Linked DNA regions of Neurospora crassa OR74A. The protein of the gene in region 2 binds, or shares a complex with, the protein of the main gene of each other region. Links are inferred from orthologs where the notes say so. Each region holds a gene or a part of one and is shown on either strand. Other genes may lie near its edges.

Region 1 (14,408 bases), about 3.3 Mb from region 2:
GGCGTTTGATACCTGGGTTTCCGTAAGTAGATGATCAGGATTGAAGTAGTACAATGGATAGACTGGAAGATTTACATGCTAAACAATGAGGTCGACCTCGATCACACTGGTGCAATTGTTAGCGCGTCATCAAAATAAGCCCAAGTTCGGATGGAAGGGCGGAGGTACACAATGAGGTCGGATGAGAGGAGGGAGATATCACAAACTCACCTTTGTCTTCCTCTCAACACACTCAAAACAAGACAAGGTCGGTTTATTCCGTTTCTGCTTCTTCCTCTGGGGCCCTCCACCTCCCGTTGTTGTCGACGTTGGCGAGGTAGCACTGCTATCTCCTTCGACGCTCTCACTCGGGCCACTGCCACTCCACCTGGGAGTGGTGCCGCCAAGCCCGGACAAGGGTCCATTGTGGTGGTGACCGTTGGAGGAGTAGTCCCCGTTGACGCCTTGTAGATCATCGGTGGATTCGCGCTTAACGCCAGCAACGTTGGTGCTGCTGCTGTTGCTGCTGCTGTACCCCGCCGCTCCCGCTCTTGTTAACCGGGGGCCATATGGGTTTTGTGTGGATGATGATGACGACGCACCACCACCGTGTCCGGGACCGGATGCGGGTCCCGCGGCGGCTGTAACACTACTTGTGTTGGACAAGGAGCGGGAGTGGGAGTGGGAGTGGGAATGGGAGTGGTGACTGTGGTGGTGGCCCCCTTGGTGGTGGTGGTGGTAGTGCGAATGGTGGTACGCATCGGCCGAACTCGGCGAGGCGACATAGACGGTGGAAGAAGCGGCCGAGCTCGGGGTGAGGACCATGGGGCCCGGCCCCGCATGAGAATGGGTCAGACTCACCCCGGGCCCGGGCCGGGATCTGGTATCCACCGGACCCGGCAAATGTCTTGGCTGTGCGGAGGGAGCGGATACCGATGCAGGTGCAGGTGCAAATGCGGCGGCAGCGGTGACGGGCTCCGCTGACGAGAGCGGATGCGGATGCGGATTCATCGAGCCACGACGACTGCTGCTGCCGAAACGTCGCTGCTGCTGACTGCTGTCACCACCGACAGGATACCCAGACATCCACATGCGCACCGAACTGCGTCAGGTCGCAGCTGGGGTAGCCCCGGGAGCCGACGAGCGAGCGAGCGAGCGGACGGTTGGGAAATGCGCGAGCGACTGGGTGTGTGGTGTGTGAATGGGTCCGCTGCCTGTATCGCGGAACGTGGTGCAAATCACCGACGCCCCCGGCACGTGGGTGTGTTTGTGCTTGCTTTCTGCAGCTTTCTCACTTTTTTTTTTTTTTTTTTTTTTTTTTTTTTCCCCGTCGGCCGGCCAGCCAACCTGTTGTGTTGTAGTAGTAGTAGGTTCGGGAATAACGCAAAACCTTTTTTTTTTCTTCAAAGGAAATGGTTTGCTGTGATTGATTGATTGATTGATTGATTGATGGCGGCAGATGAGGCAGCAGCGGAAAATGCAGCAGCCCAAAGAGAGGATGGATGCAGATAGGTGAGGTGGGAATAAGACTGAGGGTGCCGGGAGACTGGTTCGCCTGAATGGTTCGACTGGTTCGACTGGTGTAGTGACAAGTATGTCTAGTGTATGATAGAGCGGTTCCTTTGCCAAGATCGAAAAGCTGCTGCGAGGGGGACCGACCGACCGTTGAGTGGACGTCACTACTGCCTGGCTGGGGAACCCAGTGCGGTTGACACCAAAAACCGAAATGCCAAGCGACTGGGGGAACTTGTGTGACGATATAAACCTGCGAAGCGATGGAAATAATCCAGGGAAATAAAGACGGGAATGAAGAGAAAAGCAGAAGAAAGTGGAAAAGCCAAGCAAAGTGGGCGGTGTTGGACAAAGTGGAGGGGGAAAATGACTCGACTAAAAATCCTTCCCGATTTCCCCGTCCTTTATGTTTTGGCTCTTCAAAAAGCTTGTTCACAGCCTCACTGTGGTCCAAGTGGAGGAATCAGGTCCAGAACCACAGTCGAAATGAGGGGAAAAGGGAGGTACCCGGCCGGGCTGCGGTAGTTCGTTGCGGATAGCTGAGAACACAGGGAACATGGAGTGATGTGAATGCGGTGGCTGACAAAGACTGAATGGACACATCCAAACGGCGGCGACTGGGAGATATAAGTCGGTCCCGGACCGGCACTCTCGGTGGGTTCAGTTTCTCGCTTCACTGCAAACCTAATCACCCCTGTGGTTATCGACGCCTCTTCATCGCTGTTGGTAAGAATTGCAAAGACTATTTCTAGCTTGATCACAACTCCGTCAAGAGCGAATCGCAACAACTCCTGTGTGTTGGAAACTGTCGAGTAGAGTCTCTCAGCACCTCCCGGATGAGCAACACTCCGGCACCTACCTAGTCTTTTCACTCCTAACCTTGCCAAGTTCAACATCATTCAGTGTCTCTCTCCTCCTTAAATAGTTTACCTACACCTCAAAGATAACAGTGGTTGATGTTTCGACCGTTGTCCCAGCGGAGATCGGCACCCTGAGACAATCATCCGTCCAGAACGTTTGATAGGCGCTAAATCTACACCGAAAGTGCAGTGTCTCACAGACAGGCGTGCCATGCAATCCACTTCCATATCCCAGGCCTGCCGGCTTGAAACAGTGACAACTCGTTGTTTCTTGGTGTTGGTGCCTGGTTGTTATGAGGAAGAACTTTGAAGAAGCCCGTAAAGAAACCCCAGTGGCAGACACTGACTGCACTGCCAGACACACCGGTCCCGCCTCGGAGATAGCTGAGCTGACAAAAGCCAACAAAAATGCGTGACATGAGAGGGGATGCTTGCGAACGCGAACGTCTCAGTTCCGGTTCGGGAAGGAAAAAGCGAAGATCTCATTTAGTGTTACACTGTTCAATACTCGTCGAGTTGGGCAGAATGCGTAGTCTGGTAGTCTAGTGTGTAGTGAAGTCCCGCTAACGCACGTTCCAGGGTAAGAGCGCAAGAAATGTTAGTGCCGTTGATCAACAGGCACCAAAGGGCTACCCCAGAAGGCACCCTTGAGGTTTCATCAGTTGGACCCTCAGCTGGACCGGGGGGGCAATTGACTGATGCCGGCGGTGGCTTTCAAGGGGAGGGAAAAAAAAAAAAAAAAAAAAAAAAAAAAAAAAAAGACCCCAGCGGCTGAGAGAAAGAGGTTGTCTCGCTTCCAAAGATGCTCCCATGTCTACCAAGTAAAACTCCATCTAGGTTCCAAGTCTATAGTCTACAGTCTTCTAGAGACTCAACACTCACTCAACCAAACAAAAACTCTTCATAATTCCTCCTTATCCTCTGCATCCCCTCCTCCAACCCCCACCCCTTTATCTCACATATCCTCCTCGCAATATCCTCCAAATACCCATCCATATCCTCGCCCGCCACATGCAAATCGCTCTCCACCAGCACCTGCCCATCCGGACACGCCCGAATCACATCCGCAAACTTGGCCTCTCCGCCCGCCGTCCCCAGATTAATCACCATGGAAAACGAAAAGTAGCACTTGACCGGGATCTTGGGATCCAAATACTGCTTCAACACCTGCGGCGGCCCGCTGAAGGAATGTAGACACGCCCTCGGCGGGAACGGTTTCGGTTTCGGTTTGTACGGCTTCTTCTTGGGCTTCATGATTTTGTGTAGTTGCTTGGGCTCCCCCACAAGCCCAAATTCCGAGTAATCGGATTCCTCCTCCTCATCACTAGACGAGGAGGAAAAATCCTCCGACACGCCCTTGGCAATCATCTTTTGCTTCTTCCGCGACACCACCTCCTTCTCATGTCCCTTCCACAGCGACGCCAAGGCATCGAATAACACGCCGTGAGCCTGCACGCCGTGTAGAGAGACGGGACGACCCAGCTCGCCTGCCAGGCGAAGTTGGGCTTTGAGAACGTCGACCTGGTGCGCCATCTTGACGTGGTAAGGACTGAGCATCCGTCCTTCTCGACCGCCCGGTGTTAGGTCGCCGTCGTTGCGCGAGGACGAGGACGACTCATTCACTTTGCCCCACGGGAGACGAAACGCTTTGTCAAGGCCGATTTCGCCGACCAGGGCTGTGGGGTGGGCGAGCAGGCGTTGGCGGGTTTCTTGGAGAAACTTGCTGAGAGGAATGGGATCGGGGAGAGAAGCGATGAAATCGGCATCGGGAGGGGGCGATAGAACGGTAGAGTAGTGCTTAGTTTTTCTATTGTGTGCCTGTACATCCGTGACCTCTTCTCCTTCTTCTTCTTCTTCTTCGTCTTTGGAGTCATCGTAGAGCTGGTGAGAGAACCAAGGGTGCCAGCCGAACGCTGGGACGACCTTCTTGGGGGTTTCGGATGAACTGCTTTCGCGCAGCTCGTTCAAGTCTGTGATGCCGTGCTGCTCGGCTACGGAGGCGACGAGGTCTTGGTCTTGACCGCGTGTGGCCATGATGGTGAGAAGTCGAGCTTGCATGTTGTTTATGCTGGAGATGGAAGCCATGGTGTCGGTGGGATGACAGTGGGCGTCGTAGACACCAACGTGCCATGGGAAGGGCTCTTTGGGAGCTTCATCATCGTCTCTTTTGGGAACTTCATGAGGTATTGATTCGCCGGTGGAGGGACACATGGTTGCTGTGCCCTGAGATGATATGGAGAGTGCCGTAGTGGCGATTATTGACACTGTGGGAGAATTAATGGCAGTAGAGTTGGGATGATGTTGAAACACAGTTGATATTTATGTTCGATATATTCATGTGGAAAATCGCGGATGCAAAAGTCAACTCCACGGCCCGCTTCACCCATTCTGCCATCCTGTCAGCCTTCAGGAACGCCTCCTCCAACGGATGATGTCAGTTGGAGATGCATGTGGGGAAGCTATTCCCTGTCCACAGAGTATCATCCTTGCCCTCCCAACACAGCCTCAACTTGACGGTACAATTGAAAATGCCCAGTCTTGGCACACGTGTGGTCTGGCTAAGGGAAACTCACCCTTTGAGTTTGAATAGGTAGAAATATAGTGTAGACTACCAGTACTATATAGCGGAGGCTCATGCGTAGATAACAAGCACTCGCAACATGGGAAAAAAATGTCTGTGAATCCTGGCTGCAAGGGCCACTCGAACCGGCATTTTTATCAACGTCGATTGAAGGCTGTCGAGGACTTTTTCCCCGTCCAACCTTATCTTTGGACTTGGTGTCATGTTGACTTCATTGATGGTTGAACTTCGGCTCAGCTTTGACACCCATGCCGATGGGCTGATAAGACGAAGCGATGGGACGATCGCGGGGCTTCCTCAGTCCGGATGTACGTCGGTTAAGTGACACAAAGGGACCGGTGAACATGTACATATGCAACTTGTGGCCGTCAAGCAGGAATCTCGATCATCTCATGGAACGACAAGTGGAAAGAGGGGGCATCGTTCTTGGTGGTGTCCAGATTCTTGCAAGAGCGGATCGAAAACGTAAGGGAATGGCTGCCAAGACCTCATTATTCCGGGGCACGTCAACCGCTGGAGGTGTTCACGGCCCGCTAAGAACAGCCCCTTGTGATGATCTGGTTGCTCATTCGGCGCCTGCCGAAGTGTCAAAGCGGGCGTAGTGGACCCTGAAACTGCTTCCCCAGCTTTTAAGCTCCGACCGATCCCTGTTTCCAAACGGCTCAAGTCCCCCCTGCTTTTTCCCGGTTCACTCTCCGTTTCCCCGTCTTGCGCACTTCAAGCCCGTTACACTTTACATCCGTCATGGCCCTCGGAGCCTAGACAAAATCTCCCCCAAATAACAAACTCTTATCAAGTCGTAAACTCAAACTGTACTAGTTCAGTGCCACAACCTCGGGTCAGGGAACAAGATAACCAAGGGAACTGTGCTCCAAGCGCACGCACGGCATGTTGGTCTCAGCGGCAGATATGCCCCTCGCCTGCAAGAAAATCCAATAAGCTGCATACCTTATACAGCTTCATAGACCCCCTCCCACCTCACTCTCCAACTCGCCGTCAAAACGCAAACCAGAAAACCGAGGCCTTCACTCCAGGGTTTCGACATCCTCAACATCATCTGTTGCCACAGACCGCAAACACCCCGCACAGACACCATGGCCTTCCTCAACCCCGTCCATGGACTCGTTGTCCCCTTCCTCTGCCTCTTCACCATTCCCATGGCCATCTTCGCGAGTATCACCTCCGCCCTCGCCTTCTCTTTGCTCATGTTCCGCGTAGCCATCGTCTACGTCGACATAGCCATGGCATTCGTCCCCCAGTTCATCAAAGGCCGTCACTACCATAGCGTCACTGACGGCGAACTTCTTACTCCACGCCGTCTATCCTCTAGTAGCACAGGCAGCGTCGGAAACAGAGCCGCCGGGGATAGTGAGGACAACTCGCCCTTAGCCGTCGTCTCTCCCTCCCCTTACTACTACAACGGTTACGACTCCCACCAACGGAGTCCTCTCCGCCGCAAGAGCAGCTACGGCTTTGGCACCGTTCGTCGCTCTCGCCGCTCTAGTCAAGCATCCATCTCGCCTACCATCGCTTCCATCCGGGAAGACGCCGAGATGGTTCCCCCTCTGCCCGAGACCGGCGGGCTGGCTCCCTCGGTCGGCATCCAGCGAGACTTTGAAGGAGTAGGCGGGTGGCGACTGAACGACAGCAATGACGACGACGACGCCTGGCAGAACATCAACTCACGGCTGGAACTGCCGATGGAAAGGTGCTCCAGCTTTGTGGGTCGGTACCACCACAGTCTGAGCCATCGATCGCATAGTGCTGGGCCGTCGCAATCGTTGGAGGCGGGTTGGATGGGGGGAAGTACTAATGGTAGAAAGGGGACTTTGAGAAGTGGAAATGGCACAGCTGGATCGGGACATTGTGCCGAGGCGCAAACGAATAATTGGCATGGTACGGGCGCCAGGGCGAATAAGAGCGCTTTTGGAAGCATATCGAAGATGGCGCTGCCGCCGGGGGATAGGAGGAACAATCACCGTAATGGAAACGGGGTGTCGCCGATGGGTATGGGGATGTGGGAGAAGGAGCAAGAGTACTTTGCGGGTTTCACTTCTCAGAAAGGGAAGTGGAGGCCTACGGCGTGAATAATTGTCATGTTATGTTTGTCTAATTTTGCTGATCTGGACAATGTTCGTATACGTAACCAGGGCCCCTTTTTTTTTTTTTTTTTTTTTTTTTTTTTTTTTTTTTTTTTTTTTTTCGTTAAACAGATACAGACACTGTTATGACAAGTTACAAGGATAGAACACGTCTGGGTATTAGCGAAAAGCGATAATAAAGCAAAACATACTTCAATATGATCACGCTAAGAAATCCGACTTGTTTTGAAACAACAAAATAATGACATGGTATTATTCCCACCCAAACTCCTCCAGACGCCGATCCCATCCATCCATGCATCATATCCCTTTCGCAAGCGTCCGTAACCTCATCCTAGCCCAACCTTCCCATCATACCCCATCCCCAGCCATCTCACATTACCCCCAAGCAACCGCCCCTACAACGTCTGCCAAAAATAATTGGCATAAAAGAACCTCGAAAACCGATGCCGGTCCACATTAACCACGCACACATCCCCCCGCCTATCATTCCGCACCACCGCCCTCGTAAACTCCCCTCCATCCTGCTCCTCCCTCTCAATCTCGATTCCCAAGCTCCTATACACCTTCAACCTCACAACAACACCTCATCCTCCACGCTCCTGACCTGGCCCCCATTCCCGGCACTGCCGTTCCCATTATTTTCTCCCGTCGATGTGGCACCACCAGCAGCAGAAGCATCACCACCATCAACCCCCTGCAACTCCAACTCCTGCAACCGCGCCTGTAGTTCCGCCAATTGCGTCTGTAGTCGCTCCGTCTCCATTTCTAGATCTGAAACATTTTTCGCCACGCGGAACTTTTGCGTGTCGAGACGGGAAATCAACGAGGCGTGCTCGGCGGAACTGTGCGAGGACGTGACTTCTTGGTGCTGGGACTGTAAGGTGTTGAGGGTGCGCGCGAGTTTCTTGAGGTTGGTTTCGGATTCGCGCAGGCGGAGGTCGCGCGCTTGTTGTAGCGTGGAAAGTGATTCGGCGACGCGCGAGACGGCGTGGCGGTCGGGCGTGATGTTGAAGTTTTGGGTCGTGTGGGCGATTAGCTTGAAGGGAGGGAGGGGGTTAGTGGGTGGTTGATAGAGAGAAAGAAAGAGGGAGGGGTGGGTAAGGGGGATGGGAAGAGAGGGAGATGAAGAGGGGGAGGTTCTTTGGTAGGTTGGAGTGATGTAGAATGAACGGGGAAGCTTACGGTGGAGGGGTCTTCTTCGAGAAGCATTTTGGCAGGTTTAGTTTGACTTGAGGTTGGTGTTCTGTTTTAATTCGGGTATATGTAAATATTTGCTTCTGCGATCGAGTTGAATTTATGAGTTCCGTGACGGTAAAAGTGTGCTCGTTTAGTTTCTGTTGTTGTAGAAAAGTGTTTGTTCGCGAACGAACTCGAGGTCGCGAATGGTTTGTTGTTGTGTCGCAATTGTCGAGTCCCAAACCAAACAACAGCGGGACCCATTCATCCTGGGCGACGACGGGACCTAGCGGGACAGGAGCCGCAACAGGACCTGAAGTGGGACATTCCCTTATCTTATCGCAGATTTACATGGGGACGGGACCTCGGGCTATCACCGGTCAAGGATCGGGCATGCTGCAGTGGGTTTCCCCAGTGTCGTTCGTCATCGGTGGCACATTAAACAGAGCTCCAGCCACGCGATAAAACTACTGGCGGCACTCTCAGCTATCATTAACCTGGTAATTCCAGAACCTTGCTGTCCACCTCCGTCTCACACCACCACTACCTACCTTACCTACAAACCCGAGATACCAGAGTCGCCCGCTGCCGCACAATTCACGACCATATACCTACTTCTATTCAGGATACCAGTTTTCTTGTTCCTTCAACTAAATACACCCAGCTTGTCAAAATGACACAACTTCCCTGTAGGTGCTGGTCAGCTCATGGGACTCGTTTTCATTGTTCTTCCAAGCTTGGCACAGGTAGCTAACATCCGTGGTTACAGATGCAGTGGATGCGGAAACGTGAGTCCCCGAGTTGCACAATCGCCCCAGGATCGCCGAGTCATCTAACCAACGACGATAACGATGCAGTCCGCTCAACCCCGCCGAGCTCAATGTTCTCCGGGCGCAATATGAGAAGGAGGGAGAGATGGTTGGCGTCCAGACCAAGTTCAACTACGCATGGGTACGAACCAACACCCATGATTCCCGTTGAAAAGAAATATAAACTAAATAACTTCTTTACGAAATGCTACAGGGCCTAGTAAAGTCCAACGTACGAGCCGACCAACACCTCGGTGTCATGCTGCTATCAGAAATCTTCCGAACATCGCCCGAGCGCCGCCGCGAATGCCTATACTACCTCGCCCTCGGCAACTACAAGCTCGGTAACTACGCGCAAGCGAGGAAATACAACGACGCCCTCCTAGAAAACGAGCCGGCAAACCTCCAGGCCGCCAACCTCCGAGCCCTGATTGACGACAAGGTGACCAAGGAGGGCTTGATGGGAGTGGCCATCATTAGTGGTGTGGCGGTTGCCGCCGGTGTCATAGGAGGCGTTTTGCTCAGGAACTTGGGCCGCAAGAGGTAGTGGGTAGGAGGGTGAGCCGGTCGCCTGATGGATGATGACATATGGCACAAGGTGAAAGGGCAGAAAAGGCCGCTCCTTGATGACGATATGGGACAACAGGGTCCGGTGTGTATATTATGGGCTATGATTTGACGAGCTGAATCCTCTTTTCCTTCTTTAAAGTCCCGATAACTGGATTACAGACATTCCTTTCTATAAGACATGGGTTATTTGGTTCACATCCCCCACTTCCCCCAACTACCTATCTTAGATTGTTGTTGGCTTGTTAGACTCCATCTCTGGAGATGCTCTTTCTTGAATCGAACTCGGCTCACGCCCTAAATTCGCTTTATTTGACGGCGTGGACTTTGGTTACTGCATCTAGAAGCGATCCCAGAGATTGGATGCTCGAAGACGTCGCGGGTGTTAGTTCTTGGCGCTAGCCTTGAAGAACTGCCAGGTGTGACAACAGTCAACGCAGAGGTGCTCCTCTTTGAAGGCTTAGACCCCGTGACGGTGTTACTGTACCTCTCGCTTTGTTTATGTTGGAAAGCCTTGGTATCACATTGTCATTCCAAAAACCATATTGTAGCGTTAGAGGTATCAATCGTGTTACTAAACGATATATCAATACATACACCCAATACCGTACCCTACCATTGTTGCTCCTCAAAGATGTGTGCCTTGCCGTGCCTTGCCCCGGTCATAGCCCACTTTCGTGCATGCGGGACCATTTGTCTCAGGGTCAGGCTGCAGCTCGACGCCGACACATTGGCTCACTTCTCCTGTTAACGACCTGCGACATGCTTAATCGGGTCCCTTGGGCTTTCCATGCTGCACCTAATGAAGCCCAGGGCAGACTTCATTTCTTCCCCTCATCAGGCCGTTAAGAAATGCAGTATCAATGTGACATGAAACATTGCCCATATTCTACCTTGAACCCCATCCGATTCATGATTCACGGGTCGTGGATGAGTATGGAAAAGGACTACCTACTTGCAACATTGTAATACATCCAGTATGTCTCAGCATCAACATTGGACAGATACATCAGTGAACTATATAAAGGGACAAAAAAGAGTGAGGGCCATATTGACCCGTGGCGAGTATAAGAAGGGAAAAGAACAATTAGGTAATTACCAGGATCCATTATACATCCTGGTCTCAAATTACCGTACGCAGAGGTAACGCTGTGACGCATGCCCGGCCTGCGCCGACTTTCCGAGGCCTAACCAAATACAGCGGTTACAGCGATACCCAGGGTCCAATGGGATGGCTGTCATCCCTCTTTTATTGCTCGGTCGGATCTTACCTCAGCGCAAGGCAGGGAGGCAGGTACAGACACCACCTACATCGATCTAGCAAACGGCTGAACCTTCTCCAACAAACCGACCTTGTGCCATCATCCATTCCATTCCTTTTCTCCTAACAATAGAACCCTCGCCACAAAAGAGCCGACAGCCTCGAACGACGGAAGATTCCCCTTGACAACGCGCAAGATCCGATACCTGTCCATTAAAGTTGTGCCGCGCGACTGCTCCATCCCGTTGATGCCGTCGCCGCTGCGAATCCTTGAATGTAGGACGCCAACGCTGTAGATCACAGCAGCTGCATCAAGAACATCGACTCCATCATAGTGGGGCAGCCACTTCACTTCACTTCACTCAAACAACCTACATCACCTAGTACTTCAAGTGCCAGACCTCCACCTACAATTAGTATCCTCGCCATATTACGCGCGGGCTTCTTGAATTCCGAAGCCAACTGTATAATCCTTGGAGATCTCCTCTCCGTCATTCGAAACACTCGCCGACCCCGATATCAAACATCAAACTGGCCCTGCGAGGAGCGCTCCAAACCATCGGCCTCACCGTCCAGTTAGGGCTCGCCGCCTTTGCTGCTTACAACGCAACCCAAAGGCTGCTGGGCCGACCGACGGCGATGGCCTCTCCCGGATTTCCCCCGAGGCATCTCGATGCGACAACGGGTAGAGAAGTCGTCTACTGCTATGGCTGCGAAAACGAGTGGTATCGTGACGATTACCCCCATCTGGACCTAGAATGCCCCAGGTGTCACAATGATTTCGTCCAGATTGTGGGTTCTCCCATCTACCGTCCAGCTATCGCCACGCTAACCTTTGTACAGGTCGAACCTGACAACGATCCCCGACCAGGTGTTCAACAACAAGGTCACCGTTCAGACTCGGACCCGGAGGAAGATGACATAGAGCAGTTCCTCGAGCGTGGCCCCGGGTCCTTCTTCATGCGACGATCGGTGTACCAATCGCCAGATAGTCCCTTCAACCGTTCAAGTGGGAACGGTCTTGAGGATCTTGATAGCAGTCCGGACCGGCCGCGTGCCCGCCCAGATGATCCTGGCGAGGCCGTGTTGTCGCGGTTCGCCGACATGTTTGTCGAGTTAAGCGGCGCGAGGCCGGGACAGCAAGGGGGAAACGCCTTTGGGACACAGCCGCGGATACAACGTACAACCTTCACCAGAGCAGGAGACGGCATGGCTAGCTTTACCTTCACGACCACGACAACTGCAGGAGGCCCAGCGGGAGACGGGCCGGAAGCGCCCGCTTTTGACACGTATGTTCGCTCGCGACATGGCAATGGTTTCCCTGGAATTCGCAGACACACAATCATTGTTGTGACTAATAGGAGGGCTAACTCGAACGGTGATGGCAGTCTGTTTAGGGGTCTCTTTGGCAACATCCCGCCGCCGGGCGCAGAAGACCCCGGTGGCGGCCAGGGCCAGGGCCAAGGCGGTGGTCCACGAGGGCCTCCTCTTGGATTTGCCACTGGCCTGCAGGACTTTATCGCGACATTGCTGAACCCACAGGCGGCAGTCCATGGCGATGCCGTGTATACCCAGGAGGCACTCGACCGCATTATAACGACCCTCATGGAAGCTAACCCGCAGTCCAATGCGGCTCCTCCAGCAACGCAAGCCGCTATTGAGAAATTACCCAAAAAGATCCTCGACGAGCAGATGGTCGGCCCCGAGGGTAAAGCCGAATGTACCATTTGCATCGACGACATGTACAAGGGAGAAGAGGTCACGGTGCTACCGTGTAAGCATTGGTTCCACGGGGAATGCGTCACTTTATGGCTTAAGGAGCACAACACGTGCCCTATTTGCCGAATGCCGATCGAGGGCAACAACCCATCCGGGAGCAACAGTAACAACAACAATAACAATAACAGCCAACCGTCCGCATCACGCCAAGAAGCCAGCACCAACTCTGCATCAGCCTTCGCGTCCTCATCCGCACCAGGAAGAAACCCCTTTGAATCACTTAACCCCTTTGGATCACAAGCCCAATCGGCCAGAGAGCGACTTCGACGCAGCGAGCAGGAGAGAGAAGAGCGCCTCGAGCGGATCCGTAACGTGGCTGGTATTAGGCGTACCGACTCTCAATCCGAGGGAATCTCCCGCCGAACTTCACACTCGCCTCCCAGCCGTGAGAACTCACGTTTCGACATGCGATCGCGCGATAGGGACCCGTCGCCACCAAGGGATAGGGGCACCTCGACGGCCTGGCAGCCGAATCCGAGCAGCAATTCTCAGAGCAACATTAGCAGCAGGTACAGCGGTGGATTGAACAACTTGTGGGGACGCAATAACGGTAACAACGGGGAGGGAAATTCACGGGATCGAGACGGACAGCAACAGCAAAACCAACAGCAGCAGCAGCAGCAGCAGAGTTCGAGTTCTGGTAATGGCGCGCTAGGGTGGCTTAGGGACCACTTCGGCCGTGGTTCTTCCGGTTCTGGCTCCGGGGCGGATCGGGATAGGGAGCGCAGACGCTGAGCCTGGTCGGAGCGGTCATGGCATGTTGAATTGCGGGTGGCTCGATTGTACAGTTGTGTATTACAGGATCGGCTCAAATACACATACATACAACGAAGGCAAAGGGAACAGACACATGGATCGTTGGTTCATCATGATTGGGCTTTCAGGCTTTTGGTGAATAAACCAAATATGGTTCTCAAGGCCACTAGACAGATCAATGAGACTGGGAAGTTAACTGGATCGAACGGATAAGAAGAGGTTGCGTTGCAGAGCAAGAATTGCACATAAAGTGCAAAATGACGTTCCAGGGCTTGTATAATATATTTGTCGTTCTTTTTTTTTTTGCTGGTGCTCGTTATCTGCTTGTTTGGTCGCTGCTTTCCAGCCTTGCTTGCGATGATTTTGTCTTTTTTCCCACATAGCCGGACATTGACACTTTCTGGTATCACTTTGACCCAAAGAAAAGGATTGTATGACTTATATTCTTAGGCAAACCATCTTTTATCCTGCCGTGCATATTTCGTTACGTAGAAATTATCTTCCCTGAACTTCCTCCACTTCGTCAATACTTCAAGAACATTTATACAAAAATGCCACTGGGAGATACAACAAATAATCTATAGATGATCGATCATACCTGTAGAACAAACGAAACCCCACCCAGTCTTCACATTATAATTGCTCACCTTACCTTCAACCTTACATTCAACTTTTAACGTTCAATAACTTGTCAGAAACAAAAGTGATGCTGTCATCTTTTAGTAGTGTGCCCCCTCACCTCACCTTTTTCAAACCGAATGAAACCCCTCCCCCAGACCGAGCTAAGCTAAGCGAGCTAAGCGACGCCCCCCGTCGTTCGTAAGCTTCCCACTTTTTTTTTTTCTTTTCCCTTTCTTCTTTTCGGCTCGGTTCCGTGTAAGCTGATTGGTTGGTTGCGTTACTTAGGTTCAGCCCAGCCGGCGGCCTCTCGGTGAACTAATGGAGACTGGGTATGTAAACTAAACGGCTGCCTGGTGATCATGAGGGGGTTCAGTTGGTAGGTAGGGATATTGTGTTATTCTT
Region 2 (15,407 bases):
AGTGCGTGATCGCGCGCGTATTGGTTGGCCTTGCTGACTACCCAAGCCGGGGTGTCGCTAACACCCAAGTAGAGAACCTTGCCGCTGGTGACGAGCTGGTTCAGGGACTGCATCAGCTCGGGGATGGAGGTGGCAAAGTCCCACCAGTGAACGTAGAGCTGTACAATGGTCATATTAGCATGTTTATGTGTGATGTGTGAGGGCAGAGAACGTACGAGATCGATATAATCCGTCTGGAGCTTCTTCAAACTGGCCTCAACTGAGACACGCATACTCTTGGTGCCGTTGCCTCCGAAATTGGCCATGATCTCTGTTTCACCATGGCCAGCTCTGAAGTTGGTGGTATATTTGGTTGCGATGACTGGGATGACGATTAATGTCTGCTTCACGCGGAATCTAGGGGTCTGACGTGTGCTTAAAAGGCTTCAAAGAGGTTCGCAAAGTAGTAGCTTACCAAGTTGATCTCGGATTCCCCGTTTCTTCATCCACTCCCCAATCCATTTCTCAGATTCCTCCTTCTGGTAGTTGTTGGCAGTATCAATGAAGTTACCTACACATCACCCAACATCACCGAGTCAGCTTTAGCGGAATAATCCATAGGAGTTTCCCATCATACCTCCGTTCTCATAGTAAAAGTCCAAAATGCTCTCCGTAGTCTCTTGATTGCACTCTCCCATATAATCTTGCCTATGAAGTAAGGTTCCGCAGGTCAGTAATCAAACAATATCACGAACGGTTAGCAGCACAAGTCCGATGTGTACAACCTACCACGAATCGCCAAAGTTCATCGACCCCAGACAAAGCGGACTGACACGGACGGATGCAGTAGGGGACAGCAAACGATAGCGGCCGAGGGGCCCCTTGGGGGGAGGCGCCATAGGGAGGGCCATTTTGAGTCAAAGTTAGGAGATTATATCGAAAGGTGGGATGGGATGAAAAGGAAGACTAGGATGAATGACGAGAGATGATCAATACACACGGGAAGTTCATAAGAGAAGGGACAGGGAACGGAAGGAAGCTTAAATTATATGCCAGTACGACGGCCGAGGTTAGATCGGCTGGAGACTACGTACAGCCCAGATCCATGATTCGCAAAAAGAAACAAGGATATCACTTTGCTAAACAACGGGAGGCACACAGGAGGGTCGTTCCCTCTTTCCTTCTGTATAAGTTAACAAGCGGAGATAAGGCAGAGATCACGGAGGCGGGCCTGACGAGTACCCCTAGAGCAACCTCAAAGTGTACAGGTGGGATCGGCTTGGGGGCAATGGCAAGCTGAAGCGGGGGTCTCTAGTTTACGCTCTTCCACAGTGGGATGCCAGGCACGCAAGAAAACTGGGGATATTCGGGCACCCGAGCAGACGGAGGTGATGGTTTCGATCCCAGATCTCAGAGTCCGTGTACGGCAAGTGGGGTTCAATCTAAGGTGGACCATGGACGATCGTGGGGAGCGGACGGGTTTGCAAACTCCCCGAACGACCAGAGGATAACTTTCGCAATCTCGATCTTGTGCCATCACTTTCTACAGAGATCATTGATTTATAAGTCCGGCTGGAGATAAGCTTGTCTCCGTGGAGGGAGTTCAACGACCGGAAGCAAGGGCGAGGCCAGGGTAGACCAGAAGCACCTTTACCCCTCTTCGGACACTGCTCCGATGATTTCATGACTTCCGCATTCGAGATGATCCCCACTTGCGTCCAGGCGCGTTCACCTATTCTTTCAATGGGGTCAATGCTTTAGGTTGGCTCTGTTGGCGATACATCACTCAACTGTCGCCAGGGGCTCAGTTTTGCACAGATGAGAGATACATGTAACTGCTGTATAGTTCCATTGCGAACCTACACTCGTACAGACCCAAGGTATCCAGCCAACCCTAACAATGACTTCATTTTGTCGCTAGACGAGTCCTCTTCATAAACTCATGAACACCAATATACGTGGCCGCCCCTTTTTCTCCAATCCAGTGTAAGTCGTGTCGTATGATGTCGTATTTGTACAAGCAATGCAACCCCCCCCCCCCGGCGGACCATGTCGCCTTTAGCATGTCCAGACGCCGACGACACCGTCTTGACGGCCTTCGACCATGTAGCCGTCCCTGATGCGCACGCGTTCGACGATTGCAGGGGACTTGGCCTTCTCAGCCTCAGTGATGCCGGCGCCACAGTCCCAATGCCGTCCCTCAACCTTATCGTACACCTTAACCACATCCTCACCAGCAGCACAAACAATCCGGCGGGTGTCAAACATCATGCTGGTGATAGGGTGATCATATGCGTAAGCGTCGAAGATTGATCCAGTGCGAAGATCCCAAATCTGTGATAAGGAGCAGTGTCAGTGCCACTCGGTTTCGTAGTGTTATGGCAGAATGAGGAAGTTGCTTACACGAATGCTTCTGTCCAAGCTGCCAGTGACGAGATGAACATCATCAAACTGGAGGCAAGTAACCGGGCCGGTATGTCCAACCAGGCTACGGTGCACCTGTCCACTTCTAAGATCCCAGAGTCTAACCATACCGTCAGCAGTACCGCAAGCCAGAGCAGACTCGAAGACCTGCAGGGCACCAACGAAGTCTGCGGATCCGTCGGCAGAGCGGCTGGTCTGTCTCCAGGGACCGTCACTGCTGCCCATTGCGGTGGCTTGGGCGGCGGCCCACATCACGTCCAATGTCTGCACGCAACGACCCTTTGTAAGATCCCACTGACGAAGCGTCTTATCGGCGGAGCCAGAAACGAGCACATCTCCCCTGAAATGCAAGGCCGTAATCTCGTCGAGATGGGCCTCGAGAGTGAAAAGAGGGCAATCAGCCATGCTTCCGGCAGGCGGATCGACTGCGTGATCGTTCGGGTTGACAAACGCAAGGTCCTCGTCCTCCTCATCAACCTCCTGGCTACCCTGAGGGTCGTAGTGGGCCTTGCTCAGGTCCCACAGCTTGATTGTCGCATCCATAGAGCCAGTAGCCAAGAAGTTATCTTCAATTTGAAGAGTGCGTACAGATGCCGTGTGACCTTCAAGAGTACCGATGCAGCGCCCGGCGTTCAAGTCCCACACACGAACCGAGTCATCCATTGCAGCCGAAACCATGAGACCAAAGGGAGCATCGAAGTCGAGAGCCGTGATGTTATCCTGGTGCGCGCGCATCGAGCGAATCATCGTGCCTGGCTCGAAATGTTCGTGGAGAATCGGGAGTGTCTTCTTGCGATGGTTGCGAGGCTTCTTTTTTCCAGGAGGAGTGTTGGCTGCTGGTAATTTCTCGTAGATGGATTGCGACATGAATCCTTCTTCAGTTCTTGATAGATCCTCCTCAGACTTGTTCGGTGTCGCCATCGCCAACGATTCCGCCTCATCAGCAAGTTCTTGAGCTTCGTCTAGCCTGCTCTCAACATCCATGACTGCCAGTTGCGGTTAGTAGGAGGTCCCAAGATTAAGCGCATAAACACTTACTGTCATGCTCTAATACTGCCTCCTCTTTTTCAAGATTAGCGAGCCTGTCGAGGATGATCTTGCGCATGCCGTGCAGATTGGCGATTTTGTTATCAATCTCACGGATCTCGCTGCTAGCCATATTTTTCCGAACACCAAGCATTTCAAGTTGGTGCATCATTGACGCCTTATCTTTTTTTAACCTCTGTACCGCGTGCGGGCTTCCTGGTTGCACAGGGCTCTCATCGAGCATCTTCCTCCCCCGAGACACCCGTCGCTTGTGCTTCTTTCCATCATCGGTAAAGTCGGGAAAACTGGCCTGAAAGCCCTGGAATAACGAGTATGAGTTGGAGCTGGCAGGGATGTTTCTGAGAAGCTCATCGGGCACGTAGGCCAGTGCTCGAGATTGAATTTCCTTTGACGACAGCTTGGAGCGCACTAAATCGGTGGGCGTCGTACGCGCTATAGCGAAGACGCCCCGTTGAAGCGTGGGCTTCTGGAGCTGCTTGTGTATCTCGGTCATGGCGGTCTGGTAGTGAGGATGAGAGGTCGGGTCGGTGATGGGGCCGATCAAGTGACTTGCTGTTGTCGTCACTTTGCGACCGAAGGCCTCGAGACCCCGAGTCTGTTGCAGTTCACCCATCTTGCATTAGTTTGTGGTTCTTGGGCTGCGCCAAGCGCAATGCGGAAAGGACTCAGGAGAGGCAGAAGGGTGTCATCATGGTGGTGAACAGAGTGCGGGAGACGAAGGTGAGGAGAGCTCACAGAGATTACGGAGGTATCGTCATCAATCGACACATCGTCCGGGAACACATCACGGTTCTGATCGGAGTTGGCCATCCGTTGGCACCGGGAGGCTGCTACCCAATCGAAAAAGGTTCAAAGAAATGCCCAAGAGGTTGTTGCCGCCCGACGAACTACTAAAGCGCAAAGAGGTCGAATAGAAGCAGGACACTTGGACGACGACGCGAGAAAAATCCTGCGGGCGCTACTATCGCTGCCAAATCGCACGGCCGGGAATCGAGCGCAGCTGCGGCTAGTGGTAGCGATGCCGAAGCGATGTTGTCAATGTCAGAGTCCGCGGCAGCAACATGTAACCACGGCAGGCTGAATCAATTGCAGCAGCTGCGGATGGCCCGATGTTGTAGAGGTTGATCAGGTAAGGTACCTCGCTCCAAGTTCGCGCGCGTGGATGCGGCACAAATTTGATGTGTGAACCTGGTGAAGCACCGTGGCAGGAATCACTTTAGCTAGTCTGTTAACAGCTACCACCACACGTCTCTGGGACACATAGTTTGAAAGGTACCCTCTAAACACACTGGGCCCTCGGTGGTCGGTCTCTGCGGCTGGCAGCAGGCTGGTCGCAGCATGTTGGCGGGGAGGTGGATTTCCCGGCCAGCCGATAGCGCGCCCCCTCAATTCCCATTTCTTCCCCTCACCCCCCTGGCCCTGGTTCCCCGCACGCAAGCGACGCGCCAATTCAGGCTCGGCCTCCGTTCAGAAGGGGGTGTAACGAGAGCAGGGATCCGGTGTCTGCCAAGAAAGCCGCTGGAGGGCCAGTGGGGTACCGGATCCGCAGTATTGGTGCGTCATATGTACCAATGTACAAATGAACAACCTAAATTTTAACAGGGCCGTTGCAACGTGGGAATCTGATTGTTGTCCGATATCGAAGTTGCGATTGTTTGGTCCCAACTCTGCCGGTTGAGGGTCCTCAGGAGGGACTCAACGCTCACTGTACACAACAACTGCCTCTTGTCTTCTTTGTCAATTGATATCTTACTTGCACATATAACCCAAATCTCTATTCCAAGCCGTTATTGCACCTACCGCGACACCTCGGCTTTCAAGATGGACGCTATCATCGAACTGTCTGACGTCGACAAGGCGCTTGATCTTTCGCGCATTCGCTACCAGCTAATGTGAGTCAAGAGAGAGCTCAAGCACTGAACGATCACCTCGACAATCCTGGAACCTATGCCAACTGATACGTGTGTCGAACAGCCGTCTAGAGGACACCATCATATTCCATTTGATCGAGCGTGTTCAATTCCCCCTCAATAAGAACATTTACATCCCTGGCGCCGTCCCGCTCCCCGACACCGACCTCAGCTTGATGGACTGGTACTTGTGGCAGCAGGAGCGTCTCCAGTCCCTCATGCGTCGCTACGAGTCACCCGACGAATACCCTTTCTTCCCCGACGCCGTGCAGAAGCCCATCCTCGAGTCGATCGACTACCCCCAGATCCTCCACCCCAACAACGTCAATGTGAACGATCAGATCAAAGAGTTCTATACGCAAAAGTTCCTTCCCAGCGTGTGCCCCGACTTTGGCCGTGAGGATCGTGGTGTCAACAAGGAGAACTACGGTTCCTCTGCTACCTGCGATATCGCCTGCCTGCAGGCCATCTCCCGGCGCATTCACTTTGGCAAATTTGTCGCCGAATCCAAGTTCCAGTCTGAGACGGAAAAGTTCACAAAGTACATCCAGGCCGGTGATCGCGAAGCCATTGGAGAGGCTATCACCAACCAGGCTGTTGAGAAGAAGGTGCTGGAGAGATTGAAGCTTAAGGCGGAAACCTACGGTACCGACCCGTCAATAGGCGCCTCCGAGGCGGAGAGCCAGCGCAAGATTAACGTCGAGGCCGTCGTCGCTATGTACGAGGAGTTCGTGATTCCTCTTACCAAGGTGGTGGAGGTTGAGTATCTCATGCAGAGACTGGAGCCGGCGCCCGCCCAATAGCCATGATGCAAGTAACCGGCACCTAATTAAAACAACAACAAAATCCACAGCACTGCAGGCAGGAACTGACGATGCGTTGAAATTTCCCGTTCACGTTCCCCCATTTCTCGGTGCTTCATAATTCTCGCAATCCATTATGGTAAATTAGTTGGCCGCGCCAATGCAATCCCCGATAGCTTTGACAGCCTGCTTGAACCTGCCCGCCTCAATAAGCATCATGAAACCCTGTGACTTGACGCCCAGCTCTTGGAACGCACGCTTGCTGTCGGCTGAGTCTCCCTCCTTGGTAAAAGTGTAGGTGCCCGCACCGACAGCATGCTTGCGCATCTCTTCGTCCTCAGGGTGGAAGTACTGCAGGCCCTTCTCATCGCGTAGCCGCTTGCGCTTCTGCTCCTCCTGGTCCAAGCTCGACTCGACCTCGACGTACGCGCGCGACACCACCAGGTAGTGCGTAAACTCGTATGGCTCTTTGTCGTCCACGGCGTCCTGGATCTCCTCGATCATCATGTTCCACATGGGCGGGATGACTTCGGCCGGCATGTTGATGAGGCGCTCCGACAGGACGATGCCCACTTGGGCCTTGCCGGAGGTGAACAACTCAGGCAGCACAGACAGGCTGGAATCACCGGCCTTGACGGCCTTGTCGGACAGGTACTCAATCAGCTGCGCGACCGGTTTCTTCTCGCGGTGCTCCCACGCGTTGAGCACGGTCAGGAAGGCGTAGGCGTCGTTGGCCTTGTCGTCCACCTTACACGTCGAGCCGATGGTGTTCTGCTCGATGATCATGTCGCTGAGCCCGGACAGGTCGAAGAGCTGGGCGTCAGCGTCGAAGAGCTGACGAAGAAGCGTTTTGACGCCGTGGAAGTCGATGTCCTTGTCGTAATTGAACAGCTCGAAGTCGACGTTGATGATATCCATGTCCTTGTTTCCAACCAATGTTAGTATTACGACTCCCGGCCAAGAGAGGTTCGACCAAGATGCAAGTGGTCGGTTTAACAACCGAGCCTGGTGCACCAAGGGAAAGTAACTCACCTCATCCGAGTCTGAGCTGTCACTATCCTCATCCATCTTATCGACTGTGGGGTCGTTCTGGACGACCTCCTTCTGGGCTTCCTCTCTCGATCTTTTCTTGCCCATCTTGAATGTGGTACTTGAACGACTCAATAAAAATGGTCCTTATTCGACTTGTCAGTCGCATATTCCACACATGATTGTGTTCACAGGGCTCCTTACTTGGTGATATGTGGTTGACTTTGAGGTCATTCAGGCCGTCAAGCTCAAAATTTTGTAATGCAGTTGTTTAAGATTGAAATTGATAAGAACCTTATCGCCTACCTGCATATACCCTAACCCTTCCAGCTTTAGATACAACAAAATGGTTGCTAGGACAACCACAATTGCCCAAACTCCAAAAAGGGGGGGATTTCCAACCACGTTCACCCAGTTAATGATCTGCCATTGTGGAAAACTGCCACCGCGAACGATAAATGGAAGATACTTCATCTTTACGGACAGTGCTTGTCTATGGATGCCAGAAGACTGCAGGCCAGTCCTATCCAAAATGTTGACTTGGCTGCACCATTGCTGCCCTCAAACTAAAGTATAAGCTAAATCGTTGATCTTCTTACACATCCTTGATGTTATCTACTGAAAGTAACTACGTACCCCTTGACTTGTGCTGCATTCAGCTGGCGCAACATATTCCTCAACATTCTGACACCAGTTGATCACCAGCAGCGCTCCTGAGTAGCTGTCAAACAGACCATCCTCCCGCTACTCTCACACCCCAAACGTCTCATCTTGGTATGGGTCGACATGACATTGTCGGCGGCCACAGAGCCCTTTTCATGCTTACATAACCAATTCTCGGCAGGGCATTACTTCCCAAATAGTGACGTGTATCACAAACTACACCTGCTCAGCGCCCCAGCCCGCATCCACCTCGCGCATGTTTGGAGGGGGCTCAATAGAGGGCACAAATTCGAGAGCGACATAGGCGACTCCGACAAGGAAGATGATCGAGCCGATAATGATTGTAGCCCAGTGTCCATGGGGAATGATGCAGCCGACGAAGATGTAAACTGTACAAAGAGTAGACCGACGATTAGTCACAATAACTCAGCAATAGCAGCAGAGGGGGGGTGGGGCAACAATAACGTACAAACACCACGACCAAGAAACGAGAACATGAACGACGCATAGCGGTAGACTTGGTGAGGGATCTGGAACTCCAGGAGACCGGTGGCTGTGAAGAACAGCGTCAGCGTTTCGGAAACCATTTGAATGTTTCTGTCGACGTATGCGACCACCTACCAACACCAAACAGGATCGTGTAGCACCCGAGGATAATTGGTTGACTGTCGACAGTAACTTGGTCAGTTTTACATCTCCATACGATTTCTATCAGCCTGCGCAACAGTCCGGACAAAGCATGTAACACCCTTGTGAGCATAGGCGGGCGCGCACTGGCAGCCGGGACATCCAGGCTTCAGGACCATGATCGATTTCGGCGACCGCCCAAGATTGCTGCGTCCACAATATCCGCTCGTGGAGGGAAGCGCATAACTTTGTACAGTCGGTCGGCTTGCTAACGGGCGTACAATGAGGAAACGTACATTCCGAGAGGGAAGAACTGGGAGACACCACCCAGGATCATAAGCACTGCAACCGCGAGGTTGACAAAGCGACTAGAGAGGAGGACATCATGTTAGCAAGTAGTTCTGAACCTCGAACGGATGCTTGGATGCACGCAGTATTGGGGGCCAGCGGTCTTGCTTGTTCTCCGCTCTCATCCCCTTCTTTCTTTTCTTTCTCCATAGTCGCACGAGCGGGCGGATGTGAACGTACAAAGAGTCGGAGAGATCCATTATGGCGTTGTTTTAGTAGTGGCTGTGGTGGTGGAGGAGGTGCGAATACGTCGCAAAGGTTGGTAGAATGTCGCAGGAACAGGTGCGATCTGCTGGGTTCGACGCAATCTAGAGAGCGATTCAAAATGAGTCTCGGAAATTTGCGCGAGCGTAGAGATAGATGTGGCCACTTGGTGGTGGTTCTTGACGGAGCAACGAAAGATGTTGTGAGGATGGTGTATTCTACAGTGTTGCCTGGAACAATCGAAGCTCGAGGTCAGGAAGCTGGTAGCCTCACCTGCACCAAACAGGAGGGTCGGGTGGTCCCTGCCGGGGTACATTGTCCACTAAACCGGCCCCAAACGCGCGCAACGTGGGAGCTCCGCCCTACGACGCTGATGCAAGCGTGCGCGGCCTCTTGTCACTGGCTCCTACGGCATGTCAGGGCAGGGGCTTTCCGTCTGGAACTTTGAAACTTCCATTGCCGCATCACACTTCGCCATTGCAGCGAGGGTGTTGCAATTAGGGTTTACAGCCATGAGACGGCTATTACTATGCAAAACCAAATCCACTGGACGGCATCGATGAATAGACGCATAACCACTATGCGGATACTATGACTAAAGGTCTCTGGCTCCAACTGTCATTGGGATTTCCTCAAAAAGACTATGCCTTCCGTTGCTATCTATCTATGCACAAGTCAAATTCCATGGGTATGCTCTCCCGAATAACTCCAGTTGTTTCCCCCGAATTCACAGCATGCCGCTTTTTCAGCCTCCGCATGTCAATCATAACCCAACTCGGCAAGCTCCCGTTCCTTTGCGGCCAGCAACTCTCTCATCATTTCGGCCTCGCGCTCCAACGCTGCTCTTCGCTCTGCCTTCATCCGCTCGCTATCATTGTGGGTATCTCTCGAGGCGCTCCGCAAAATCGGAGCTGATGTTGGTGTCCCAATAACCGTACTGTTTGAAAATGACCCTGGACTGTGTGCTGGAGTCAGACTGCTCATGGCTGGGGACCGGGAGGCTGGTTGCATCCGTAACTGGTCTGCCGGCGAAACCTCTCGGTGTATCTCAGAACTCGGCATCGGGTTGAGAATGGATTTGATGGAAGACAGGCGCTTATGACTTTCGTTGTCATTATGAGACGAAGGTTCGTTCTCTACAGCAGATATCGACCGCTTTCTCGATGGGGACAGAAATGATGCTGGTGAAATGGACGCTTGACGATCAACTGGGAGCGCCAGTGAATGAATGGGAGCCAGTCGATTCTCGTAAGTGAGAGATGCATGAGCCCCGTGGTGTGGTTGATTTGTATGAGATGAGTGGTACTGTCCCAAGGCGGCTGAAGACAGCGGGGATGCCTGTCTGTTTCGCCGCAATTCGTCCTCAGGCACGAGCGTCAATGGTCGCACTGAACGTCGGCGGATGCCGAGATTAACAGATCCATCTTCGTTGACCGTACCTTTCTCCATCGGAGGTTCTGATGTCGCGGGTGGTGAATCTGGAGCCTCACTTGGCTCAATTTCGGCATCACCTCCGGCGGCAGGAATCACACGTTTTCTCCGTTTGATTATTGCCTTTTTCATGGTCACTGGCCGATGCACACCGTGCAACTTGTAATAGAGACCTTTACTCGAGTTAGCAAATTCCATCCCATTTGTAACTTTTCAGGCCATAAGTTCATGCACTTACCGCACGCATTGCAAATGGTATGACCGGCTTCGTCCCTTCGCCAGAGCGGAGTAATGGTAGTACCGCAGTTTTGGCAAGCAATAACAACGGTTGTGTTTTGCGATTGTACGTGTAAGGCGGTGATGTCCATCTCAGTCGGTTCTTCCCCGCTGCCCTCTGCTGCTTGAGGTTTCTTGGAAGACGCGGCTGCTGCGCCCTGACACTTTAGCACGTTGAGACTCGCACTCTTGGAAACGCGGTTGTTGTATGCGGGGCAACCACCACACCCCTCCGCACCACCTGTGCCGTTGCATCTTCCGCCTCCAGGGCACGATCCTGACGGCGTCTGATCGGCGGCCACATACGTTGCTCCCGGGTTGCTTGGCAGTAACGGTGCGGTTGCTTTTTTGGGGGACAATTTGGCCGCGGCCTGCCTAACATTGCTCGCCATCACGCTGGGAGGGCGCCTGATGTTGGCGGGGCGAGCCGCGTTACGCGCCTTTAGGTACAGTCCGCAAGCGTTGCAAATGATGGCTCCTTGAGGTGATCTTCGCCAAAGAGGAGTATGTGTCGTACCACAATTGCTACTCAGTCGTTAGCGCTGGCCTACAGATTCAGTCATTAGGAAAGGGACATTCATACCTGCAGACTTGACCCGCATGACCCTGAACAGAAGGCACAAGTCCCAGCGTTGCAACGTTCACCACCCCCACGGTTTCGGCTGGAGATTGTGCTGGTTGGGCATTTTGGATTTTTGGAGACTTCTTGCGACCAGACGGACTCTGCGCAGCATGCCCCGCTTTCTTTGAATTCGGCGAGAGCCCGGATTCGGACTTGGAGGCCGCCTCGTCAACCGGTCCGGTTGACTCGTGCTCCGGGGGCTCGTTACTTGCGGTCGGTGGGGGTGGCCTTGATGGAAGAGCCATACGATCAGGTGCCGAGTTACCTTCGATGGAAGTTTGGTTGTTCATAAGGCGAGTGTCATCCGGCAATGCCATTCCTTCTCAATGTGTTTGCGTATGGATCTCAACCTAACAATATGTATGCTCAAGGCTAGTTATCCGTCTTGAGAAGGGACACAATGTGTTTGAAAGCCTGTTGAAAAACAAAGTGGATGTTGTACGGCGCCGGGAGTCTTGGGGATGCGCAGGCTGGCTTCAATATCGCTCCGTGATCGTCAAGAGGCGGAAACGGTATCGAGGTCGGCGGTCAAACACATGCCGAGATCGATCGTTGGAGTTGTACTTGGATGGCAAGTAAGCCACCCCAACTTCTGGGCAATGTGCGCTAAGGACCAGGCGGGATCCGGGGCCAATACAGAGCGCCGGTACCAGGAGAACAGCACGTGTTGGGTGTCCGAAACAGGCGATTGATGGGGTCAAATGGCCAGAGGAAGCGAGTACTACAGACCGCAGCAGGGTGCCGCTGAATCAGAAGTTGGTTATGCTGGAAGAAAAGGCTTGGACACGGCGCCAGGTTGTGGTACGAGCGGGTTCGCGTTGGTGGCAAGACCTGGACGGTTGTGTACTCCGGTAGAGTGCACGAGGATGGCGAAGTCGGTCGGGATCCGAGGTAGCAGATAAAACTGAAGGGTTGGTGGACGGAAAAGGCAAAGCAAAAAAGAGGGCGGGTCTGGGCCAAAGGCTGGTCTTGAGGTTTTCTGTCGTCTTTCTGTCTTTTTGCGTCTTCTAGGTGAGTGGACAGACGAATGTCTGCATATCCTTCCCCCCTTTGCCTCAAGAGTCTCTGTTGTGCTTCTGATTACTACTCCACTGCTCCACAGATCTGTTATCTGATCTACGGATAATCCTGGCGAACCAAAGGGCTGAGAGACGGTTGGATACCGTACGCAGGAGGGCTTCACCCAGGGGTTCGTCTGCTAAGTAGTCGTTGCCAAGGACAAACACGTCTGGAAGGGAGGAAGGTTCGACAGTGTCTTAGCCTGAAGGAGGGCCACAAGAGAACAAAGCGGTTTGATTTTACAGTACGACATAGAGAGGATTTGGCACAACAAAAATCAAACCCGTTTTCCCACTTGTTTGGGAGACCTGATTTGAGATCATGGGACGTGGAATTGGGCTGGCTACAGGATGAAAAAGGTCCTTTCTCAGGTCCAGTGTCACTGGTCCCCTCGACTTGGGGAGCCAGATGCTGCAAGGGAATAAGTGACCCACAAGGTACCCAGATATGTCCAATCACGGACCACGCAATGTCAGCAGACAGGGCTTAGATGAGAATGACCGGGGTTCCTTATGCGTGCATTGGGTACGGGAACGCAGTGCCGACGGGTCAGTAAGCCGACCAATTTTACATACTCTGTAGACGCAAGTGTACATTTTGACGCAATGCGCCGCCATCAAGTCTCGTTTACCTATGTACACTATCTAGTCTAGTTCTACATTGGTGTTTCTTTCCAGCCCATCAGGCTCAGCAGGACATGTCTCACGACCTGAAAATATGGTTTTGGAAATGGTCTTGGTTGCTATGGTAGAAGGTACATTACACTATATCATCGCCGGGACAGCACCCAAAAAAACACCGACCATCATTTCCGAAAATCCATCCCGGACCTCAAGTGGTCTGGAAGAGGTCACCTGGAAATCTGGCCCGCCAGGATTACATATTTTGAACCAACCAGTTACCTCTAGCGTACATTCAGACTAGTAAGGAGTTACTTCATTCAAGAGTTACCTCTAGTGTAGTCCGCTTTACTTGAAATTACCAGAAACGGACCACCACATTTATAGTAACCATTTTCCGAACGCCATTTGCAGGTCATGGGACACGTCCTTACGCAATCGCCTACGTCAAACACAACATATCTTTCCATTTGAGCCTGCTCTATCGCGGACATTTACTCATGCCACGGATCGGGAAAGCGAAGTCAGTACGATGCAGCCGGTCGCGGTTCTGCGTACTAATTAATGTCGGGCTCGGCGGTTGGATTAATGGAAAGATTCCTGTCTTTATCGCCTCAATCAGACAACCTTGGCGCTCCTCTGATCGGCCTATCGTGCATATTTGTACATCCAGGACGCCATCCATCTCATCGTACACTACAACCTTGCCAAGATCGGGACACTCCACGACAGTCCACGATAGTTTAAGGTGGTTAGGCAATATTTTGTAAACAGCAGTGCCGTTTGTTCCTGCGATCGCAAGGAGTTTTCTCTCCGGGTCACGGGTTCGTCATCACTCATCTACTCGGGCTGCGAAACGTTTGATCTTCCTTCCAAGCTCACTGGGGTTAGCATTTGTCACTAGGCACTTACAGCTTTCAGTCAACCTTGCAACCATTCCTCACACGCTCATTCACCCAACCTCAGATATCCTTACAACCCAAGTCTAGTTCTATGTAGTCTAAAGAAAAGAGAAGTCTATTTTTACCCACCCCCTGAGCAACCAGCCCAGCAATCACCAACCGGACCCGGACCAAGTGGTTGATCATAAGCTCTGACCGATACTTTAGCTCTTTTTAGTAGCCCACTGTACACTAGTGCACACCGATCACCTCATCCACCCCCGGCAGCCGATGATCTGATAGCGATAGCCCCAGAGTCCCGAAAAGAAAAATCAAAAGAAGGAAAAGGAAGATCATTCCATGATGGGGGGACTTCTGTGGACCCCCAATCACCCCATCGATCCATCAAACCTGTAGTGTACAGCCGCATTACATGCCAAGCATTTTTATCAATTCCCGCAACACGGATCAGTTTATCTGTTGATCCACAGGGTATCATCTCCGAACTCCACTCTCCCTGTGGATTGTTTTCGAACGTTCCATATCCGGATACCGTAAGCTTTTCGTTGACATTTGACGGAGAAAGACACCACTTTAAATCCACGTGCGGATTTTCTACCCTGCGTGGCTCGGCCAGATCTGATGGATGTTGATCAGCAGCTACATAACTAGTGTACGTAGTGTACTTGAACACTAACAAAGGCTCGACGCCCTGTCATGACTCTGTCTTCTTTGACTAGGTAACCAGTCCAGAAACAAAGGTCCTCCGGCCCACTAGTCAGTATGATTCGCTTCGTTGTTCACACTAGTACCTACGAATGAGCCTTTTTCGATATCGGCGCTTTTCATCAGCGATGTTCCTTGGTACCCTTCGAAGTTTTTAAAACACCTCGGCTCGGTGATCAAGGCTCTAAACCAACCGGCAACTTTCCCAATGGGATTAGGACTACGGCGCATAATCAGCATTGCAGTGATTGGCTTTGTTTTTGTTGACGTCTCGTGGACCAAATTTGCAATTCTGCAAGGAAAAAAAAAAAAAAAAAAAAAAAAAAAAAAAAAAAAAAAAAAGAACCGTCAAGGTGTACTACCTAGTATGCATCCAGGATGAGGGTTTTGGAATCACGGAGGAAATCCGCAGCATAGACAGTGTCTATGTTGAACCAGTGTATGTTTACATGTGCTTTGTGGAACATCGATGTTCAGATTTTAGACGACTTCGATCGTGAGTTCAAACCCTCACTTGGTACTTGACTTCCTGTTAAATTTCCGAATTGAACAAAGCTTTCCATATTAACACCAACCATCCTTTGGAGAGTTGTGGGGCAATTGTTGTACCTCAACAAATCTTGTTCGACGAGGAACCCATCGAAGGGAACATAAAGGGATACATTGGCAACAAACCTCAAGACAATGCCCTACCACATATCCCCAGCCAACCATCAGTTGATAGAAGTACCGAAAGGCCACCTTCCTCGGCAGTATAA

The links.
Region 1: the proteins of NCU07724 (region 2) and NCU05313 are in contact, whole or in part, in a crystal structure (PDB 3UUX), measured with the Saccharomyces cerevisiae proteins. The link is inferred for Neurospora crassa OR74A from reciprocal best matches to the Saccharomyces cerevisiae genes MDV1 and FIS1. Residues at the interface, in NP_012423.1 of Saccharomyces cerevisiae: Asn95, Lys96, Phe99, Arg100, Leu102, Thr103, Tyr104, Ile105, Ser106, Asp108, Leu109, Asn111, Glu112, Ile113, Pro114, Glu145, Thr146, Ser147, Leu148, Phe149, Gln150, Gly151, Phe152, Lys153, Tyr155, Leu156, Ala159, Gln243, Ser246, Ser249; in NP_012199.3 of Saccharomyces cerevisiae: Val4, Asp5, Phe6, Pro8, Asp12, Glu15, Leu17, Gln21, Ile24, Leu25, Gln28, Ala37, Thr38, Ile39, Gln40, Ser41, Phe43, Asn44, Trp47, Lys51, Arg59, Val62, Lys63, Thr66, Tyr69, Lys70, Ala72, Glu73, Ser74, Arg75.

What each region holds. Positions count from the first base shown.
Region 1 is NC_026504.1:5,367,483-5,381,890, reverse strand, and holds NCU05313 (mitochondria fission 1 protein), read left to right. Parts: upstream 1-8,604; 5' UTR 8,605-8,886; coding exon 8,887-8,902; intron 8,903-8,982; coding exon 8,983-9,001; intron 9,002-9,070; coding exon 9,071-9,164; intron 9,165-9,236; coding exon 9,237-9,569; 3' UTR 9,570-10,195; downstream 10,196-14,408. Other genes in the region: NCU05308 (Zn(II)2Cys6 transcription factor), read right to left, coding at 1-12, 76-106, 211-1,071; NCU05309 (Cut9 interacting protein Scn1), read right to left, coding at 3,234-4,562; NCU05311 (hypothetical protein), read left to right, coding at 6,027-7,019; NCU05312 (hypothetical protein), read right to left, coding at 7,609-8,073, 8,220-8,246; NCU05314 (hypothetical protein), read left to right, coding at 11,490-11,642, 11,694-12,139, 12,239-13,364. UniProt on the Saccharomyces cerevisiae protein: Has a role in mitochondrial fission. Has a role in outer membrane fission but not matrix separation. Required for targeting MDV1 to the mitochondria.
Region 2 is NC_026504.1:2,069,910-2,085,316, reverse strand, and holds NCU07724 (mitochondrial division protein 1), read right to left. Parts: upstream 4,629-15,407; 5' UTR 4,261-4,628; coding exon 4,186-4,260; intron 4,046-4,185; coding exon 3,442-4,045; intron 3,390-3,441; coding exon 2,383-3,389; intron 2,314-2,382; coding exon 2,038-2,313; 3' UTR 1,726-2,037; downstream 1-1,725. Other genes in the region: NCU07723 (norsolorinic acid reductase), read right to left, coding at 1-158, 216-361, 455-550, 617-687, 769-890; NCU07725 (chorismate mutase), read left to right, coding at 5,272-5,342, 5,425-6,163; NCU07726 (bcp-1), read right to left, coding at 6,308-7,084, 7,196-7,300; NCU07727 (COPI-coated vesicle protein), read right to left, coding at 8,072-8,244, 8,325-8,408, 8,477-8,520, 8,779-8,850, 9,011-9,030; sre (siderophore regulation protein), read right to left, coding at 9,794-10,638, 10,704-11,266, 11,325-11,680. UniProt on the Saccharomyces cerevisiae protein: Involved in mitochondrial fission. Has a partially redundant function to CAF4 in acting as an adapter protein, binding to FIS1 on the mitochondrial outer membrane and recruiting the dynamin-like GTPase DNM1 to form mitochondrial fission complexes.